Linked DNA regions of Saccharomyces cerevisiae S288C. The protein of the gene in region 1 interacts with the protein of each later gene in a biochemical or structural test. Each region holds a gene or a part of one and is shown in the gene's direction. Other genes may lie near its edges. The genes, in order: MIA40, HYR1, CYC7 and COX17.

Region 1 (3,795 bases):
AGTACAGTATTATGGACTCATGCCATCGAGGTTACATAGAATTAGTTTAAACAAAAACCAACTATCCTCTAATATCCATGGTACGAGTATATATAATTGTATGAAGTGTAAGAATATGATATAAATAATGAGAGCACTCATAGAGAGTAACGGCGCTGAATTGTAAGAACTGTCACGTAGTAACACAATCACTGAAAGCATATAAAGTGAAATGAGAAACGGTAGTAATATCATATGCATTACCAATTCCTTTTAGTGAATTTCCATGTGCCCGAGGGGGGACTTCCAGTATATTCTGTTACATTTAAGTAAATACTTCATCAACAAATAGGGCCCAGCGGTTTCTTACACTAATTATACATTTACAACGTAAATGCTCCAGCTCAAGCATTATTTATATATCTTGTTTTCAAAAGAAAAATATAGCAATTAGACTCCATGGCCAAGTTGGTTAAGGCGTGCGACTGTTAATCGCAAGATCGTGAGTTCAACCCTCACTGGGGTCGCTTATTTTTAACTTTTTTACACTGAAGAAACAAATCAATTCTAATACAATGCCAATGGCTTCAAATCAACCTTTGGTTATAATAGTTAGGAGAATCGATGCTTACATAGTATATTATTTAAACAATTAATTTGATTTAAAAGATTTTTGTTTCCCTTGCTGCTGTCATTGGCTTTCTAAATTACATAAAGCAGATGAAAAGCCACACTATGCTGAAAATAGTGTGTGGATGCATCTACATGATGATGCAACACGAATTGGATTTTTTAGCTTGCTTATAAAACATTTTGGAACTTGCCGTTAATGACTCCGATTTGTCCACCAAATTATCCAACTTTTCACCTCTTTGTAAAACATTCTCAATCGTTTTGTGCAAAACGATTTTCGTCTCATCCAGTTCTTGTTGAACTTTCATGATAGCGTCAGCCTGTGAAGGATCTTGATATTTGCTAATGTAAGTGTCCAGTTGCTTCATTTTCAATGCATCATTGGTCTCAGTCACATCTGCCCACTCTTCCTTAGGATGTGCGACTAAATATTCATCCAATATTTTGTTTAATAGTGTGTATGCTGGTCTGACAGGATATTCTTTGTCGGTGATCAAAACACCACATATGCCCTCACTCCTGGCATAAACGTGGCCAATATAGTTGCCTTCTTCTATACTTTGTCTTTGTCCTGCACCAGTTCTAGAAGCGACCGTTTCAGCAAAAAAAGTCATAAACTGGCCAACACTAGACCTTTCAAAGAAACCAAATTGTGACAAGTCTTTAACTTCACTCAACTCTAGAGCCTTTTCTCCTCCAGAGCGAAATACACCGATGTAGTAGATTCTCATTGCCAAAATAACTTCTCTAGTGATACGTAAAGCTTCAGAAATGCCCTAGCCTGGTCTAACGCAGTCAAACTGTGCCAGAGACTTTTGTATATTGTTCATGTTGATATCTATTGTGCTTGCTCTTGATTTCACACCAAGCCAATCGTTCTGTACGGCACGCCACCCAATAAGAAAAAAAGGGAAAAGGAGCCGAATTTTGGTTTAAAAACATATAATGCTGAAATTGTGGAACACCAATTACCAACTGGAAGTAGGCTCGATCCAAAGAGTGTATATTATCAGTAAAATGCTTCGCAACTTAGTCGTCAGGAATGCGTGCAGAAACAGGCCGTCAATTCAAGTGGCAAGGGGGTTATGCCGACACCAAACAAGACGTCTCATGGCGTCCTCCCCTCAGTTCGGTAGGAACTCCAATCAGGAAAAAACAGCGGGCTTTATAATGGGGATTCTTTCTATGGCTGGTGCTTTATATTTTATTGCTCCTAATAGGAAGCCTCTTTTCGCCTCAAGGAAGGTAGAATCCGATAAAACCGCAGAGGAAGAGCTTTCCAGTGGTGGTGAGCAATCACCAGAAAATGAAGATGACAACAACAGCAAAAGCGATGAAAATGGAGATGACAACGACAGCAAAAACGATGAAACTGAAGCTGGCCCTCAATTAGGGGGTGATAAAATTGGTGCTTCAAAAGTAGCTGAAGATGGTGAATTGGTTGTTCTAGCAGAAGAAGACAACAAGTCTTCCGAAGATAAAGATACTGATGAATCAAAGGTATCAACCAAAGATGATGAGCAATCCAATGAAGACAATGCCACCGCTAACAATCAAAAGGATGAAAACATAAGTTCTGAGAACTCGGAAGAAAATACTAGTGACAAAACACTAGACAACAATGCTGGATCTTCTGAAAAAAAAGATCCAGAACATTCAGATGATGAAAAATCGCAACAGGGACAATCTGATGACAAGACAACTACTGAAGATAATAATGGAGAAGAAGAATCCTCAAAAAAAACTGTAAGTGACTCGGAAAATTCAGCTAAGCAATCTGAATCTAGCGATGAAGAGAAAGAAGAACTAAGAAAACAAGAGGAAAAGCAAATGGGTCCTACTGAAGAAGAGGTTCAACACGAAGGTGCTTATAACCCAGACACTGGTGAGATAAATTGGGACTGTCCTTGCTTGGGAGGTATGGCCCATGGACCCTGTGGTGAAGAGTTCAAATCTGCATTTTCTTGCTTCGTCTATTCTGAAGCTGAACCAAAAGGTATCGACTGTGTTGAAAAGTTTCAACATATGCAAGACTGTTTCAGAAAATACCCCGAGCATTATGCAGAACAACTAAAGGAAACATCTGATGATGAGGAACCTCAAGACAAAGTAAAGGTCAACACAATAGAATCAGCGCCAAATGTTTCAAGCGCAAAGGAAAATGCTGCGAAAAAAGCAGAGCAATCAGATGTGAAAAAAGAACCATTGAATGAGGAATCCAAACCTTAAAATCTCCTGAAAATCTCCCGAACGTAAAAAGTATAAAAGTATAAAGGATGATACATGTAAATACAGTAATATTATCTTAGTTTAATGACTACATATGGTATAATATGTGAAATATACATGAATTAATGCATCTGTGGGGCGGATGAGTCTAGTCTCTGTATGAATCCAGCTATACATCAAATCGTATCCTTTTATTTACAGGGCAAGTTTGTCATATATTTTAAGTTACTTGTAGTTTTTTTCCAGCTCAATAAATTTTTCCCAAATTTGAGACATTGTAAGTTTCTCGAAACTCTTTCTATTATCACGTTCTCGAATGTTGTATTTCTGTAACTGTACTTCCTCATCACCCACGATAATTAAATAGGAATAGTTTTTCAAAATGGCCGACTTGATCCTATACCCTACGGGTTCGTTTCTTATGTCGAGATCAACATTGAAATGCCAATCATTTAAAGGAACTGGTTCCATGTCGTCGGCTTCCAGTTCATTACGTAGTTTTTTCTGCAAGGCAGTGCACATGTCTAGCTGTTGCACATTTTTCGTATTGACGGGAATAATTACAGCTTGGTAAGGATTCAACCAAAACGGCCAACGGCCCTCATTAGAATCTATCAGTAAAGCCATAAATCTTTCGATAGAACCAAAAGTAGCTCTATGAATCATAATTGGCCTCTTGTACGAGTTGTCTTGATCCTTGAATTTCAAATCGAACCTCTCAGGTAGCTGAAAGTCCAACTGAATAGTAGCGACTTGATGAGTTTTGCGTAAATGGTCCGTAACCATTATATCCAACTTTGGACCATAGAACGCACCATCACCAGGGTTCAGTTTCCACGGTTTGCCTGATTCTTCCAAGATTTCCTTGAGTACTTGCTCAGCATGATTCCAAACTTTGAGGTCTCCAATGAAGTGATCCGGTCTTGTAGAAAAGTTTATAAAATAATTGCTCTC
Region 2 (3,211 bases), on another chromosome or scaffold:
AAGGCATAAAGTCCGCCAAGGCAGGGTCATTATAGCTCAAGTACTGTCCATTAACACCGTCAGGAATACCATGAAGGGCCAATTTGGCATAAACTGTAGCTGGCACAGAGCTATCCAGCAACTGGTTATTCTCCTTTAAACCTCTAAACATCTTCAATTGCTCTGCACTCATGGAGGAAGGCCCCACGTTCTCCCTAATGTTAACTTGCATATCTGTGTCCACAATACCTGGGGCGACGGCAATGGCTTTCACTTGCCTTTCCTCGTTGGCCAGAGTCATGGCGAAGTGGTTCAGAGCGGCTTTTGAAGAACCGTAAGCTCCCCAACTGCTGAAGTACATGTTACAGGCGTCCGAACTGACGAATACCACGTTACCGTTGGTCTTCTTCAATTCAGGTAACGCAATGCCAACCAAGGAAACAATGCTGAAGAAGTTGATGTCATACAGCTTCTTCCAAGCGTTGACATCAATCTCGTTGACATTTTGCACGGGCTCTAGGACACCAGCGTTGGCAACCAAGGAGTCGATCTTGCCGTGGCCCTTAACAGCAGCGTTAACCAACTGCTTCAACACGGAATCCTCGGTAATATCACCGACAACGTAAAAAAACCTGTCGCCATACTTCTCTTTCAACTTCTTCAAGGGTGCCTCAGACCTGGCTACACCGTAAACAACCGTGTCCTTGTCCAAACTGAAAAGAACATCCACGATGGACTTACCGATACCTCTGGAAACACCTGTAACTAAAATAACTTTACCCATGTTTTTTTAACCTGTTACACGCTGTAGTTAGACCCTTTTTTTTAGGTACAATATTCTTCCATTGCACTTGATCTTTTTCGTTTACGTATATATATGCAAAAGTTAATGTTCATACTGTCTTCTCTTCATTTCTTTGAAAACACCGCGGAATTCCTTCGGTGATACATTCAATCCGGTTCTTGGCACAGAAATGGCCGCACAAAACTGTCGCTCATCGCAAACCCAATAAAAGTTTAGTAGCTAAAAACTATAACTATACCCTTTTACATAATATAGTTTAGTACTAGCCCTGCACCGGCCCCAGTCGCTCATCGTTGTAGCGGAGATATTGACCGTTCAAAGAGTCGGGAATACCTTTCAGGACGAGTTGCGCTAGTACCGCCGCAGGCACCTTTGGGTCCAGCAGTGACGAAGTCTTGTACAATTGAGTAAACCTCTCGAGAGCCTTGGGTGTCATGCCCTGAGGACCCAATGTTTCCCTAATATCTTTCTGCATCTGCGTGTCAACGACGCCCGGTGCAATACACACGGCACGCACTTTATCACTGGGCTCTTCACTGGCAATGTCCATGGCAAAGTGGTTTAATGCGGCTTTCGAGCAGCCGTACGCCGACCATCCGTTATATGGTTTCACACTGGCTCCAGAGCTGACGAAGACAATGTTGCCTACAAATGGCGAGCTCTTCAAGAGGGGTAAACACAGTGCCACCAAAGAGACAATGCTGAAAAAGTTCACATCGAACAGCCGTTCCCACTGCTTGATGTCGTGTTCGGAGTTGGACTGGGAGATGGACTTCACCGGTTCTAGCATCCCCGCATTTGCGACAATACCGTCCAGTTTTCCATGCTTTTGCCGGATTTCCTCCACCAACGCTTCCATTCGAGACCTGTCCGTGATGTCGAGGACACGATAGACAAATTTGTCTGCACCGTATTCTCTTTGCAAAGACTGCAGACCAGCTTCCGTTCTTGCTACGCCGTAGACGATGCATTCATCGTCCTCTTCGATAACAGTTTTCACCAATTGCAGGCCAATCCCACGGGAGGCACCTGTAATCAAAATAACCTTGCCCATATCCCTTCTTTGACAGATTATAAGTTGTTTCTCTTGTTGCTGTTCGCGACAGCCCTTATTTCCTGTATTCCTTCTTCTTTTTCTGCATTATCGTTTTTAGCCACTTTACGAAAAAGGTCAAAAAGTGAAAAAAAGAGGGAAAAAACCATGAGGAACAGTATGCTCCCTTAATATCGGAAAAGCAATAGTAATAAAAACAGCATCAGAGCTTTCCACGTCTCTCTCTTCCAAGCTGTCATCTCGTAAAGTATTCAAGTTTATCATGTCAGAATTCTATAAGCTAGCACCTGTTGACAAGAAAGGCCAACCATTCCCCTTCGACCAATTAAAGGGAAAAGTGGTGCTTATCGTTAATGTTGCCTCCAAATGTGGATTCACTCCTCAATACAAAGAACTAGAGGCCTTGTACAAACGTTATAAGGACGAAGGATTTACCATCATCGGGTTCCCATGCAACCAGTTTGGCCACCAAGAACCTGGCTCTGATGAAGAAATTGCCCAGTTCTGCCAACTGAACTATGGCGTGACTTTCCCCATTATGAAAAAAATTGACGTTAATGGTGGCAATGAGGACCCTGTTTACAAGTTTTTGAAGAGCCAAAAATCCGGTATGTTGGGCTTGAGAGGTATCAAATGGAATTTTGAAAAATTCTTAGTCGATAAAAAGGGTAAAGTGTACGAAAGATACTCTTCACTAACCAAACCTTCTTCGTTGTCCGAAACCATCGAAGAACTTTTGAAAGAGGTGGAATAGGCAGGTCTTCTTCTTTTGAAGTTAGGTAAAGCTTAGTTTTCTTTTATATTTCCTGATAATACATACTCGCTAGTCAAACCTGTCAATTATTATGTGTCGCAACAGACTATATACGTATACATACATATGTATTGAAGTGTGTGAACGAATTACGCGGCTGCTAGTGCCGTACGAACGCAACAAAACGGTTTAGAAATTGCTACCTAAAGCACGCGCCTTTTCCTTAGAAGCAGCATACGACTCCTCTGAGGTTATGGTCTTTAACCATTTGGAAATGGCAGGATAATCCTCTGGTGCGGCAAACTTTCTTTCAAACGCCATCTGCAAAGGGAAAGACATCAAGATATCGGCACCGCTCAACTTCCCATCAACCAGGTAGCCGTTATTTTTGGAAATTTCACCCTCCACAAAGTCGAACTGGTTCTTAACTTCACCACTAGAGTATGCCTGACTGATCTTGTCTGCCACTTTTCTTGCCAAGTACGAAATAGGGAAGGGCATACCAGAATCCTTCACCTTTGAAAGAATGAACTCAATCATTAAAGGTGGTTGCAAGGAACCTTCTACATAAAACAGATAATAGTTAATCTGGTCTGCAATATCAGCATCTTCGCTCATT
Region 3 (3,153 bases), on another chromosome or scaffold:
GCCCAAGGCGGTAATGCTTCATCCGGTGCGCTTGGCACAACTGGAGGAGCTACAGATGCTGCGCAAGGTGGACCTCCAGGTTCCATTGGCCTCACTGTAGAAGATTTACTATCGTTGAGACAGGTCGTTTCAGGTAACCCAGAAGCTTTAGCCCCATTGTTGGAAAACATAAGTGCTAGATATCCTCAATTACGTGAACATATCATGGCAAACCCAGAAGTGTTTGTGTCCATGTTGCTAGAAGCCGTGGGTGACAATATGCAAGATGTTATGGAAGGTGCGGATGATATGGTGGAAGGAGAGGATATAGAAGTTACAGGAGAGGCTGCTGCTGCAGGACTGGGACAAGGTGAAGGTGAAGGTTCTTTCCAAGTTGACTATACCCCCGAAGACGATCAAGCTATTTCGCGCCTCTGTGAATTGGGCTTTGAAAGAGATCTTGTTATCCAGGTGTATTTTGCGTGCGATAAAAACGAAGAAGCTGCAGCAAATATTCTATTCAGCGATCATGCCGACTGAGATTGTAGTAATGTTATGGCTTGAAGTATCTTCACTTATTCTCGACAATGTTGCATGATTTTTGAGCCAAGGGAAAAAAAAAGCTTACGTAGAAATCAATAACGTATGTGTATTTATATATGCTAGAAGGGAAAGAAAAGAAAACAGAGAGATGGTAATATTAATCTCAATAATAATAATAATAATAATAATAACAATAATAATAATAATAACAACAACAAATAATGATTATACTGCTTTTAGCGCATATATACAGTTTTGTTAAAGAGTTTCAAAATTCTTGTATACCTGGTACTTTTGCCCATCGGGGACAGGTGCATTACCAGGTCGGGAAGCTAACCCAGTAGCTATTCCAACGCCGGCCGCTGCGTCCAATTCCAATGGATTATCGCTCAAGAACAGTACCTCGCTAGCCTTCGCACCGATATCCCGCAAGATGTTGGCGTAAGACTGTGTTTCGGTTTTCTTTCCAGAAGTGTTGATGTCGAAATAACCATCTATATAAGAATTCAAATCCAACGAATCATGCGCAGGCGCGTTGGGATCCTGAACATACCCGAACAGCAATTTCTGTGCCTTTACAGATCCACTAGAGTAGATAAACACACGCTTCTTCCTCTTGATAAAGTCAATAGCATCTGCATAAACGGGCGCCTTAATCTGCCCAGATTCGTATCCGTGAGCCCAGACGTAGCCTTGCAACTGTTTCAAGATTGGATCCTTCACATCCTTGGCCACCAACTCCAAAATATGCGCCTGCAACTGCTCCTTATTGTCGATGTGAAACTGCGACAGAATGTTGGAAACCGGGGAGTCCCTTGTATCCTGTTGAACCAATTGCGGCACTTTATTCGTGAAATAAGGGAATAAAGTCTCCTTCACGAACGAGATCGGGCACACTGTCCCTTCAATATCAAGCAAGTAAGTCGAGTAATTGTCTCCCATTTTTGGTATACGAGCTAGCAGGACCTTTTGCCCAATGACCATTCCATATTCATCCCACTCACCACCGTCATCGTTGGTATTATTATTATCATTCCGCTTGAAGAAAAAGAAACGAAAAAAGAAATGGATCAGCAGCCGGGTTATAGCGCCCCTTATTGAATTATTTTCCTTCGTGCCTTCTCTGAGAAGGGTCTGCAGTCCCCCGCCGAGGGGTCTTTTCCCACCTTCTCAAAGCTAATAGCGATAATAGCGAGGGCATTTATTCAAGTTCCAACTACTATAAGTGGCCGCAAGGGGCAAAGACAAAGGCACACAACATATATATATATCGTGTTGTGAAGCTCGAGAAGATTAGATCAGAATAGTTCTCTTTTTGTTGAGGTTGAAACAAAATCAAAGACTTATACAAGAAGATCACATACAAGCATTTATTCACATTACTTTAAGTAAACTTCAGTAAACTACATTACATCATAAACAAAACATGGCTAAAGAAAGTACGGGATTCAAACCAGGCTCTGCAAAAAAGGGTGCTACATTGTTTAAAACGAGGTGTCAGCAGTGTCATACAATAGAAGAGGGTGGTCCTAACAAAGTTGGACCTAATTTACATGGTATTTTTGGTAGACATTCAGGTCAGGTAAAGGGTTATTCTTACACAGATGCAAACATCAACAAGAACGTCAAATGGGATGAGGATAGTATGTCCGAGTACTTGACGAACCCAAAGAAATATATTCCTGGTACCAAGATGGCGTTTGCCGGGTTGAAGAAGGAAAAGGACAGAAACGATTTAATTACTTATATGACAAAGGCTGCCAAATAGGCTATGTCGTCGGAGGAGATATTTATTACTTTTATTATTCTAGTTTTTTACAGTTATTTATTAATTAATTATTTTTATATGCATGCGAATAAAAAGTCTATATTTAAGTTCTTTTATTTATTAATACATTTTTTTTTGAGAGTCCTGTGTAGCCTATTTGTTCTTAGATGCAGATCCTCCTATAAGACATAACCTAGGATGACACATAAAACAGTCAAACGCCAGTTTGCCGCTACGTTGGCACCTGCGTTATTACCGCTCATTGAGCTTGTACTGCTGGAGGCGCTTCCGCTTACAGAAGATGTTGTTTGAGTTTGGGAAGTGACGGAAGAGGATACGGAGGATACGACTTTATCTCCGTTCTTAGTAGCAGTAGAGGAAGAAGAAGAAGAAGAAGAAGATGATGATGATGATGATGAAGCGGTGGAACTAGTCTTACTACTCTTCTTAGTTGAACTGCTGTGATCGGATGACGTTTTGGAGGAAGAGGTTGCAGTTGAGGAAGAACTCTTTTGGGTGGAAGATGTGGTAGCTCCCTTATGTGGGTCCAAGCCAGATCCCTCATCACTGTCCATCATGACCTCATCATCGGTAATAGCAATGTCTTTGGCCAAAAATTCACTGGACGAAGTATACACATAAGCAGAAGTACCATTCTTCTTGGTATCGCTTGGTGGATCATAACATGTGATATTAACTTCATTGACAATAGCATAATAATATCCTGGGTTGCTGATATCGGATGCGTCCCAATTAATTTCACCACCAGACCATGCAATGGTTCCTGGAGCGTTGGTAGAATTACCACCTGGCCAAATGGAAATATCCACCTTGGATGGGGTTTGTGGGTATTGATATTTTTG
Region 4 (3,037 bases), on another chromosome or scaffold:
ACAATACTTCTATCTTGAGATGATTCACCGACGAAGGTGACGGAACGACCTTCCCTACCAGCTCTGGCGGTACGACCAACTCTATGCAGGTAGATCTCATAACTCTTGGGCATATCGTAGTTGATAACAACCTCAATCTTGGGGATATCAAGACCTCTGGAGGCCAAATCCGTACAGATAAGTACAGGAACTTCCAAATTTTTGAATTTATTAACGGAATCTAAACGCTGTTCTTGGGTTAAAGAACCGTGTAATTCACCCACACTCATACCTAAAAGACCCATGATAATCCTTAACCTATGAGCAGTTTCTTTTCTAGCCACAAAAACGACAATCCTCTTTTGACCCGTTGGATCCAATTTCCTAATCAAATTAAATAACAAGGCAGGCTTCAAATGGTCTCTTTTACGAATACGAACGAATTCTTGTGTCAACTTAGTAGCAGCTTTCTTTGGAGGATCAATCATAATCCTTACTGGTTTTTTTAGAGAAAGACTAACTAAACTTTTAATTTTGGAGTTCATTGTAGCAGAAAACAATAGGTTCTGTCTATTGCTTGGTAATAGGCCCATAATTTCGTTCAGTTCATCTTGAAAACCTTCTTCTAACATTCTATCGGCTTCATCCATAACCAGAATCTCTACTGAGTCCACATTAAAACTTGCTGAGTTCCTGATATGATCAATGAATCTACCTGGGGTAGCAATGACGATGTCCGGACGAGATTTCAACATTTGTTCTTGTTGTCTCAAGTTCAAACCACCAACGGCCAGACCAAAGGTTATACCGGAGACGAAACGTGCAATTTGTTTACCAACGTCAGCGACTTGGATAGCTAACTCACGAGTGGGCAATAGAACAATAACTCTGGTGGAAGCGATTTTGGCTGGTTTATACAACAAACGCTCGATTATGGGAATCATAAACGCAGCAGTCTTACCGGAACCAGTCACAGCACCGGCAATGATGTCTTTACCCAATAAGGCAATGGGGATTGTGGCGCTTTGAATAGGGGAAGGCTTGACGTAACCCAAACTTGCAAGGCCCTTAAGAACCGGACGAGATAAAGACAAACTGTTGAAATTTTCGTACATTTGCTTTTTAGCTTCATCTCCCTCAGTTTCAGGCGCATAGAAATCGGCTTTTGCCTCTTCAGAATCGTCTTCTTCATCTATTTCGTCATCTTTGCCGCCTTTTTCTAACGTCATCTCTTCTTGTTCCTCCTCTTCCTCCTCTTCCTCTTCCTTTTCCTCCTCTTCTTCTTCTTCTTCTGACTGATTTTCGTCTCCATTGTTCATGGGAGCTCCCATACCGAACCCGTCCATTGCTAATTCCTCATCGTCGCTATCGTTTTCTTTTTCTACTTTTTCTTTCTCGGTTTCTTCTTCTTGTTTACTATCAATATGGGCCATTTTCACCAGCCCACCTTTTCTTCTAATAATCTTATCCAAGTCAACGTCCTTCTTCACAAAAGCTTCGGCATCGTCCTTATTGGACTCGCCCTCTGCTAGAAAGTTCCAGCCTTGGAAGTTCGAAGTGGTATCATCGGCGTCCAAATCAAACTTAAACCCCGCGTCCAAGTCCTCATGAACATCCTCATCGAGGTTATCCCCCTCACTAACCTTTTTCTTGTTATTCTTACCCTTCCGCTTCTTCGTAGTCTTCTTAGCCTCGACTTTTTCGTCATCAGAAGAATCTAGAATTGGAACATCGTCTTCACTGTCACTGATTGTAGGGACAAAGTCCAAATTAGAGTATTTTTTAGTTCCTACCACCATAGTATATATATAAGACGCTGTTGTAGGCACACAGCTCCAATTCGAAACCCAAGTTACCAACGTAAATACTCATACTATCTAAGCATATTCTAACTTACAATTTTCAACCTCATCTCATCGCATTTTTTGAAAATTTTTTTTCAAATCATTACCCGGATAATGTTATAACCCTACCTATCTCCTTCAAAAAAAGATAAAATGACGATATATAGCGGCGAATCAGAATCTAGTAACCACCTAACTACTTGTCTCTAGTACAACTAAACAAAATTTTAGTGTACACAATCAGATAACTACACAATCAATTATACCCAATGACTGAAACTGACAAGAAACAAGAACAAGAAAACCACGCGGAGTGCGAGGACAAACCTAAGCCATGTTGCGTTTGTAAGCCAGAAAAGGAGGAGCGGGATACATGCATCTTATTCAATGGACAAGACTCTGAAAAATGCAAGGAATTCATTGAAAAGTACAAAGAGTGCATGAAGGGTTATGGCTTCGAAGTTCCAAGTGCAAATTAGTCTTACTGACAGTCTGCCGACAACCATTTCTTGTATATATAAGAATAGGTATTCACAAACTATAGTATATACTACCTGTAAATATGTGCGATGCACAATTAACATTACCTCATCACTACTACACCACTTCTACTGCTAGCACTGTCCTCTTGTGCTTGGCCCCTTAAGAGTGTTCTAAGACCACGTGACCAGAAAAGGACGTATCACGTGACACAAACCTAATAACTTTTTTAGGAAACCCTAAGTCAGGGCACGCTTGCTTTGTTTCTTTTTTTTCTGGAAAGAACGGAAAAAAAAAAAAGTCTGGGATTAGTTAGTGTATATTAAGTGAAAAAGTATAGAAATAGGTGTCGAGAAGAAGTGCTCGTTGAACCATACTGCTCACAATACTCTTTCATTGAACTCTTTATTACGTTGTCGTCAAGTACAACTCCTTCCTTTATCGCCTGCCTAGCCTATAGTCTGCTCTCTTCGTGTCATTCCTTATAGCATAATCAATCGCACTTCCCCTTTCATTGTGCGTTTATCCAAGCTTTTTATTTGCCTACATTCGTGTTCGTAAGCTTTAACAACAATAAGTAGCAAAACAGTATGGGTTTCATATCGTCAATACTGTGCTGCTCTTCCGAGACGACACAATCCAATTCCAATTCTGCTTATCGCCAACAACAGAGCAGTTCTCTCAATAAAAACAGAAGCGTTAAACATTCCAACACGAAAAGCCGAACCCGTGGC

The links.
Region 2: the proteins of MIA40 (region 1) and HYR1 interact in a test that uses a peptide from one of them, tested with the Saccharomyces cerevisiae proteins (one study listed by BioGRID).
Region 3: of the proteins of MIA40 (region 1) and CYC7, one has a biochemical effect on the other in vitro, tested with the Saccharomyces cerevisiae proteins (one study listed by BioGRID).
Region 4: the proteins of MIA40 (region 1) and COX17 form a complex in vitro, tested with the Saccharomyces cerevisiae proteins (2 studies listed by BioGRID).

The regions. Positions count from the first base shown.
Region 1 is NC_001143.9:74,192-77,986, forward strand, and holds MIA40 (Mia40p), read left to right. Parts: upstream 1-1,629; coding exon 1,630-2,841; downstream 2,842-3,795. Other genes in the region: palmitoyltransferase YKT6, read right to left, coding at 741-1,343; threonine--tRNA ligase MST1, read right to left, coding at 3,067-3,795. UniProt on the Saccharomyces cerevisiae protein: Required for the import and folding of small cysteine-containing proteins (small Tim) in the mitochondrial intermembrane space (IMS). Forms a redox cycle with ERV1 that involves a disulfide relay system.
Region 2 is NC_001141.2:421,028-424,238, forward strand, and holds HYR1 (peroxiredoxin HYR1), read left to right. Parts: upstream 1-2,100; coding exon 2,101-2,592; downstream 2,593-3,211. Other genes in the region: NRE1 (sepiapterin reductase family protein), read right to left, coding at 1-763; sepiapterin reductase family protein IRC24, read right to left, coding at 1,047-1,838; GTT1 (bifunctional glutathione transferase/peroxidase), read right to left, coding at 2,782-3,211. UniProt on the Saccharomyces cerevisiae protein: Involved in oxidative stress response and redox homeostasis. Functions as a sensor and transducer of hydroperoxide stress.
Region 3 is NC_001137.3:78,773-81,925, reverse strand, and holds CYC7 (cytochrome c), read left to right. Parts: upstream 1-1,948; coding exon 1,949-2,290; downstream 2,291-3,153. Other genes in the region: RAD23 (Rad23p), read left to right, coding at 1-519; putative acireductone synthase UTR4, read right to left, coding at 781-1,464; chitin transglycosylase UTR2, read right to left, coding at 2,470-3,153. UniProt on the Saccharomyces cerevisiae protein: Electron carrier protein. The oxidized form of the cytochrome c heme group can accept an electron from the heme group of the cytochrome c1 subunit of ubiquinol-cytochrome c oxidoreductase.
Region 4 is NC_001144.5:130,470-133,506, reverse strand, and holds COX17 (copper metallochaperone COX17), read left to right. Parts: upstream 1-2,092; coding exon 2,093-2,302; downstream 2,303-3,037. Other genes in the region: DRS1 (putative ATP-dependent RNA helicase), read right to left, coding at 1-1,778; PSR1 (phosphatase), read left to right, coding at 2,894-3,037. UniProt on the Saccharomyces cerevisiae protein: Copper chaperone for cytochrome c oxidase (COX). Binds two copper ions and deliver them to the Cu(A) site of COX.